2 linked regions of the Danio rerio genome follow. The protein of the gene in region 2 purifies or fractionates together with the protein of the main gene of each other region. This does not show direct contact. Links are inferred from orthologs where the notes say so. Each region holds a gene or a part of one and is shown on either strand. Other genes may lie near its edges.

Region 1 (4,559 bases), on a different chromosome or scaffold from region 2:
CTATTGCTGCTCATCCTCAGGACAAGAATGCCAAGTTAGCCTTTCTTCATAAAAAGCAATAACTATCTGCGGGCAACGGGTGTTAGCCTCTCGTGCGGGAACCAGGTCCGCTTCATCAGAGTCCTTCCTGTAAACACAAGACAAAGAAGTTTATCTAGAGACCAAACAGAACAATTAGACTAGGAAGTACAGTGTTGCACTTCAAAACAATGACCTCTGCATTGCAAATGAGGTAAATTATCTTGTGGATGCTTTATTGAAGGGATGTTGAAAACCTAGATTTTAAAACAAATGTATTTTGTCAGTTTAATTTAAAATATGGATATGGATTCAAACACACACACACACATTTATTTTTTTTTCATAAAAAAAAAAAAAATTATACCATACACCTTTGATTATATATAAATAATTGTGTCCTGAGCAGTAAACACGTGGAGCACTTCTACACAAATTAAAAATTTAAGTTAAACTACCTTTTTGAATAGAAATTTGAGATGGATTGTTGGTGATTGTATGAGTTTTGACCAGATTGGCTAGCAATACACGAACATAGGAAAATTAAGACTTGTTTAAAAAAAACATTCAAGACTTACAACACAGAGTAAATGTAAGACTTTTAAGGCCTACATTTTTTATTTTGGGATTTTAGACATTAAGACCCTGCAGAAACCCTGAATAAAAATAAGCCGACACAATGAGCCCTCCAGTAAGCCTCTTTATTTTTTAATAAAAAGGTTTTATGCGTGGGACTGCTGCCCTCTACAGGCCTTTAAAACAATCTTTAAAATGAACTCAAATGTTATTCCAAAACGTTATAGCTTTCTTTTGTGGATTGTTTTTCATACAAAACAAACAAACATTTTATTTACCAAGTTAAAATAGGTTTCAAATATTCTTCATATAGTATGACTTGTAGAAGTTGAACAGATTCAAAACAAGATCAAGACTTCCCCCACTATTTTTTCTCAGCTAAACATGTTCTAAATCAATTACAAAACCACAATAGTTTCTTACCACTTCATGAGGAACATGAGCTCCCCGCTGCTGTCAGTCGCCCCAATGATTCTCTCTGGTTCAAGGTTTCTTGCAAAACCCCTAGGCTTGTCAGACTACAGTAAAAAAACAAAAAACAATATTAGTTTAGATTTAGCAAATTTAACCAATGTTAAAAAAAACATCACATCTGCTAGATATTTTAATGACCAACACAACATCTTACCATTTCCTTCTTTCGTTTTGCCTTGCTCTCTTCTGTCTCTGGTTCATCAGTGGATGATTTTCTTTTTACAGCTTCTGGTTTTTCCACCACTCCTTTCTGAGACTCAAGGAATGCGGCGATCAGCTCTGGACAGTCTAAATTTTCTTCAGGCTCCCAAGTGTTGTCAGCACTGAGGAAACATAGATACCTTGTTAAAGAGATAGTTTACTAAAAACTGAAAATTGTAATTTACTGATCCTTCACTTGCTCCAATCTTGTTAGATTTTTTTTCCATTGAACACAAATCATGTTTTTTGAGGAGAGCTGGAAACTTGTTTACATTAACTTTCACAGTATTTGCTTTTCCTGCTGTAGAAATCAATGGTTACCGGTTTTCAGGTTGCTTTATATTATCTTTAGTGTTCAAAAAAAAATCATTAAAAACTGGAACCACCTGATGGAGAGTCATTTTCCCCTACAATCTAATAGCATACAGCTACACTCACAAATCAAAATATATGCAAAAACAATTCCGTTTATTTTTCATAGCTGCAAAAGAGACGAAGTACTCACTCTGTAAAGCCTTTCCACTTGAGGAAAAACTCAACTTTTCCATTGACCACTCGCTGGTCCATTACCTTCTCCACCACAAACTCCTCAATCTCCTGAACTTCCTTCTTTGACTTGCCTGCCTGCTTCTTACCCATGTTGACCTAAATGCACACACACACAAATGACATCATAAACCAGACCTTATCATTCATTTCAAGTACTTTAAATTTAAAATGTTAAAAATTTAAGACTCTGCTCTTTTTGTATCAAAATAACAAACGAAAAGGTTTAACTGTTTATGACTTGTAATATAATAGTAAAAAGGCTAACGTTAATGTTTGCCCATTTACTAAGAAATTAAATGATACTATATGCTAGGGGGGTTCTCAAATCCAGTGATGCCTTTACGGCTAGCCTAGGGTTAAAAACGCGTTAGTATGTGGTGCCTTTTAAGTGTGCTTGAATGTTAGCGAGCTAATGGTAACTGCGCATGCATGAACAGGCCAAGGGCCCTGAAAGCGTTTCAAACTTCCCACTCGAATTTATAGCGGTTTAAGATTTCCCGGCGAACACACAGCTCGCGTGAACGTATAACTTTCCACAAAAAAATATTGTTCGCTTAATATTTGCTGAAACACGTGTTGGTTTACAGTAGCCCGCGTTAGCCAACTTGCTAGCAGGAAATGCTCACAGAAACAGACAAAACATCGCGACGTTACAAAACATTGTGCAATATGCATCCTACATTTCTGTAAAGTGAAACAACTTAAAGGGCTTAAAAGCAGATTTACAAAAATAAGCTAAAATAAACAAGACTGCAGCATTCAAACAACAAACTACAATGGACGGTGCTGCAGCACGAGAGGCATGCGCGCGAAACTCACCATGACAATGGATAAGATAAAAACTTGGATAACAAATCTTCACGCCTTCTGAACTGCAAATGGCTTTACAGAAACTGCTCCCGCGCCAACGAAGTACGCACTTTTAAAAGTTTTACTTACTTGATACTAATAAATCAAGAAGAAAAGCCGACTGAGGCTCGACGAAGGCCAGCCAGAATCGAACGCGAGGACGTAAAGCCACGCCTATCTGAGAGCAATCACGTGTATCCAATGAGTCTTACGTTGGGCGGAGCGCCTGTGAATTCAAAAGCACATCCGCAGATTACCATGGCAAAACATCTCGATTCAGTTATTTTGAGAGATACACCGTATCACTTAACTTCAATTTAAGTGTTCACTCATTAAACAGATCTCTAAAACAGATTCTCTATATGTTTAGCCTATTGCCTACTACATCCAGAACATGACACAACAAAGGGAGAACGGGGTAATGTGAGATACCCCCTGTATCTAGGCAACGAATTTTATATATCACTCTATAACAATTTTGTTTTAAAGCCCCTTCCATATCTCCTTTACCATGAATAATAGGAATTCCTGGTGCTTTGGAAAGCATGAACTACCAACATATAAAACGATGTGAGTATGCTAGCTCAAGATTAGTCTGAATTGCTAAAAAAAAAAAAAAAAATTTCTAAAATGTGGCAGTGGGGTAAAGTGAGACATTAGGCACAAGTTAAATTTAGTCTACCAGATTGTAGGACTTGTGAACGAGGCCTTCAAACGAGCAGTGACACTTCGCAACATCACTTCTGGATTTAGGTCCACTGGAATTTTTCCATGGGAAATTTTCCTTGATAAAGCATTTTGCACTATTCATGGTGTCAGACTAGGCAAATCCTGAGCTCCAGCCTGGCACTACAGAAGATTTGGATGATCTACTTCCTGCAGATGATCCACTTACAGATAGTTCACTAACTGATGCTATTCCATTCAGTGCGCATATAGTCTACATGGATGTGCCATGTGTTTCTAGCCAACCTGGATACATGTCTCTTCATGAAATGCTACCATTCTCAAATGTCTCCCCAGAACACAATCCAAATGAAACCGTGTGACACTTGAAAAGGCCTATAAAAAAAGACAAACAAAAAAAAAAACACCAAAAAAAAGAAACAAAAAGCTTAAGAATAGCAAATAAAAGGAAAAATCAAAAAAAAAAAAAGAGAAAGCAACCAAAAACAAAATCATAGTTAGCAGCTCTGGGAAAAATGATGTCCCTGTCTTAGTTGATAATGTGTCTGATGAAATGAGCTCTAAGGATGAGAGTAGTGGTCCAAGAAACACAAATCTGTCTTTGGGAGACTTTGTCATAGATAACTTTGCAACAAAAAACACAAGCGTTTATTACACTTGCATGGTTAAGGAAGTTGAGGATGACGAGATACGCACATCATGGTTTTGCCAAGTACGATCTGATCCTGGATCAACATCTATGTTTATCCTGGAGCATCATTTTTGTTGGAAATTGTAATCCATACCTATTCCCTACCCCTAAACCCAGCCATAACTGTACATTACTCTCAAAATCAGAGGGGAATAAGTTGGATAACAATCATCAGAAGTGCATAAACATAATCATAAGCCTAAACTGAACATAAACGGTAAATGTACCCCTTAATTCTGATTGGCTGATTGGAATGTTGTTTAAAGATCAATATACAGATGTTAATCCAGGAACATGTGGGTGAAAATAGCTTAGAGGGGTAAAAATGTAAAAAGTGTCTCACTTTACCCCGCTATCCCCCTAGATCCTTTGTAGTGTAATTCAATTTGACCAAAAGACCAATAATTTAATTATTTGATTAAAACAACTAAATTACTTTAAATTAAGACTTTTTTTTAATTTGTTCTATTAATTTATTCTTCGTAGTATAATAAAAAATAACTTGCATGTGATT
Region 2 (3,820 bases):
CAACGGGCAGCGTGGCGAGATGTGGGTGCTTTTTTTGCTCCAGGTTCCCCAATAAGCTGGCCGATAGTTGTCATGGAAATGCAGGAGCTTCATGCGGCCGTAACGACTGCGGTCTGGTCCATCATCTGCCTTCTGGCTCTCAGTTATGACCACACAGTCTCTAATAACACAGAACATACACCAAATAAAATGTCTTTTGACATCCCTCTAACAAATGCAGCTGACAGTGTTCTGCACGAGTATATATTGAATACAAACAAATCCAAGCAACAGGCTCAGTGTGGCTTTACCCTTGTGCACTATGCCTGGGTCTGGTGGGACCTGAACTGCGAGGTTTGTGCCCTGTCCAGTCCTTCAGTCCATTCAGAGTACTGTCGGGTTGGGCAAGATAGCGGTCCAGGTCCTCTAGCACAGAGTCTTCACATTGTACTCGAGTTAGCGGTGCCAGAGACATGTGTGCTTTGATCTCAAACGGAGCAAACTTCCCGCAGGCAGAAGCCAGAGTCTGAAACACAAGAACATACAAAAATGCCTACATTAACACATTACTTGACAAAATGGCCAAAAAGAACAAATACTATGAATGTTAATGATTGATTATTTCAAACATTTTTAACAGAACAAAAAAAACTGGTTTAAAACAAGTCAAAGTTGAGTGAAGGACAATTTTTAGATTTGAGTGAACTACCTTTTAAAGACGCATCTTAATCAATTTGATCACTGATTACAGGGTTTAATTGAAGCTTTTTATTATTCATGTTTTTATAAATGTATATTACAAATATCATATGACAACTGCATTTATTGATGAGCAACATTCCAACCTAAAACATAGCAGCCTGTACTTGGTTAGCTAATAAGAACAGTGTAGGGCAGATATAGACTCAAACTAGGGCCTAAAGGGCCAAAGTTGGCCCATGATAATCTTTAATTTTGCCATCCACTAAGAAAAGAGGCAGAATGTTGGGGGTAATGCTTTTAAAACACATTGTCATTTCTAATTTTAACACCAAAAGACGTGACACCTCAATTTATTGTAATTTGAGCGTTGCGTTACAATTTGAATATGTTTGGGTTTTTATGCTGCTATAAGGAACATCTGCCATTTACACAATATAAATTGTAAAGACGCGATACTGCATCATTAAAATGCTATACGAGTGTAGTCTACACCATAGCCCTCTATGGCTCTGGCCCACGTGCACTAGGGCTGGGCGATATGGACAAAATATCATATCTCTGTATTTTTAGGACGAACGATGGCATACGATATATATCCGGTATTTTCCCATAAATGGTCACTTTAGAGTCAAAGCCTTTATTAAAACTTTATTAAACATTTTTGAGCAAAATATATTTGTTTACAAATAAACAGCTGCACAAAAAAATAACAGCTGCACAAAATCTTCGATAAAAACATAGTACGGGTTTTTCTCCTGCTTAAAACTACAAGTTGCACAACATTTCAAATTATAAAAAAATGATTGATAAATAAATCAAGTACAGTTTTTTTTGCCTGCTTAACACTATACACAGCTCTACTGTGCTGTTGTGCAAACAACAAAGTAAACAGAACCATAGAAAACAGCTACATTGTCAGAGCAAAAAATTTACACTTAAATAGTAACACTACAAAACGTATTGTAGGATAGAAAAGAACCACATAGAATGTAAATATGAAACACAGTATTTTATGTCACAATTACAGTGTTTTTATAAGTAATCCTGTATAGCAGTTTTGTGATTTACAAACAACAATTCAGCTGTATGTTTTTGCACAATTATTAAAAAGTGCACATATCGAAGACGTCTAAAAACAAGTCTTTCACTCCATGTAAAAAAACACAGTTTTTTTGTTTTTGACTAAACTATTTTTACTAAATATTAAAGGAGATGAAAACGAATAGACTGTAGATATGAAAAGTAACGAAATAGTTTCAGAGTACTGTGATTAAATGCTGGTTAAGCATATAAGAGCTAAATGTGTTTTAATGTAAATGTAAAGAAGAGAATGTAATAAATACTGAACTTATAATCAGTGAATATGAGGTGGTTTCACTTTCAAAATGCGGTATAAATTTGTCCCATTTAGGTATTTTTAATTCTTTTGAACACATTCAGGTGCTGCTTGTCAATTTGACAAGGTGTCTACGTTCGTTCTTGTATGAATATTCTACGTTCAAATATTGTATGACTCTTGGAGTGAATTATTCATTTGCGTATGCGCTTATTTGTGCAAGTGGAGCTTGCGTGCTACCTTGGAGTGGTTTATTTTGCACAGAATGCACACATGTGGCTTTAAACCATATCGACATGAAAGATACTAGATAATACCGTACGGCGTTGGGGAATCATATTGATACATCCCCAGAACCCGATATACCACCCGGCCCTAACATGCACTTAACCACAAATGCGGAAAGAGCAGAAGTTTGTGAGGGATTTGAACTTGCTGAAAAAAGCGGCGCTCATCATGTTTTCAACACAGTTTTGGATGAGATGGGTGAATAGCCCTAAAGGCATGGTGCAAGTAATAAATTATTATTTAAAAATACCCTATCTTCATGGTGACGCGGCGCCGCCTGTTGAGTACGCCTAATTATGGACGATATGAGGCTATGGCAGCTGTTGTGGAGCCCTTCAAATGGGACAGGTAAAGAAATCATATTTTCCACTAATATCCACATATTCAGTTGCATAAGTAGAGGGTTTGCATAACCCTCTGTTGCATAGGCACACACAATTCACACACTCTGTTCTTGCACCATGTAAAGAAAATGTGTCTCGAGTTTCTGATCATCTGATCGGCCTTTGTAGATATTGCAAATCAATCCCCCCACCAAGCGATTATCGGCCAATAGTGATCGGTGACTGACTACTCGATCTGAGCATGGTCCTTAACACTTCCGGAGGTTGTTAAAATTGTTTTTGATTAAATTTTATTTACAGTTTATGTGCTTATGGGGGTGTAAATGCTTATGTGATTCTTACCTTTGGTGCCAACTGGGTCTTGGGCTTTTGCAGAAACCGTGTAATCTCAGCCTTCTCAGCTTTAATTCGCTAAAACAGATGCAAAAATGCTATGAGGGCCTGCACAGCTTGCCAAAGTCACATCCAAGACTCTCAGCAATGAAACACTCACATCTTTCTCTTCCTTTAACCGTTTTTCCTCTTCCTTCTTCCTTTTCTCTTCTAGTTTGGCCCTAAATAAAGTTTAAAACAGAGTTAAATTCTCAAATTAGGGTAAACCCCATCGCAGTTTCCATTGTGGTGAAACACTGGGTCACTTACTCAATTTTCATCTGCCGTTGCTCTTCTTTAGCTTTTAATTTATCTGCTTTTTCTTTTTCGTCCCTCTCCTTTTTTTCCCGCCGCTCCTTTTCATCTTTCTCCTTTTTCTCTTTTTTCTCCCTCTCCTTCTCCTCCTTCATCTTGCGGGCCTCCTCTTTCTTCTTCTCCTTGGCAGCTTTGGCCTCCTGTTTCAGCCGTTCTTTCTCATCCCTCTGTCGCTGCTTCTCCTCCTGCTCTTGAACACTCTGAGGGACAAAAAGACAAAGGGCTATTCAGCTGAAGCACAAAATTCCACAGCGACAACAATCAATTCACCTTTAACTCTTTAACAATTGGATCAAATTTGAGGGACGGGGAAAAAATGCATTAACCTCTAAAGGCCAAACTTCAGCCATTCACAGCAACTTTACTGGTTTTGTGATTAAACTCAAAGCTTCACAGTCATTGTAGACAGACTGTGCAAACATTTCTCATTCATTCAATGTAGGTCAATCTTCTGGCATTACTGTTTTCAACAAATTATAACCAC

What was found.
Region 1: the proteins of chaf1a (region 2) and cbx3a purify together in Homo sapiens (affinity purification with mass spectrometry; 5 studies listed by BioGRID and IntAct, with this or other methods). This does not show direct contact. The link is inferred for Danio rerio from reciprocal best matches to the Homo sapiens genes CHAF1A and CBX3.

What each region holds. Positions count from the first base shown.
Region 1 is NC_133194.1:22,210,495-22,215,053, forward strand, and holds the start of cbx3a (chromobox protein homolog 3a), read right to left. Parts: upstream 2,840-4,559; 5' UTR 2,641-2,839; coding exon 2,638-2,640; intron 1,915-2,637; coding exon 1,775-1,914; intron 1,392-1,774; coding exon 1,223-1,391; intron 1,113-1,222; coding exon 1,018-1,112; intron 128-1,017; coding exon 1-127.
Region 2 is NC_133197.1:22,139,791-22,143,610, forward strand, and holds part of chaf1a (chromatin assembly factor 1 subunit A), read right to left. Parts: intron 3,537-3,820; coding exon 3,292-3,536; intron 3,204-3,291; coding exon 3,143-3,203; intron 3,061-3,142; coding exon 2,992-3,060; intron 506-2,991; coding exon 291-505; intron 161-290; coding exon 1-160. UniProt on the Homo sapiens protein: Acts as a component of the histone chaperone complex chromatin assembly factor 1 (CAF-1), which assembles histone octamers onto DNA during replication and repair.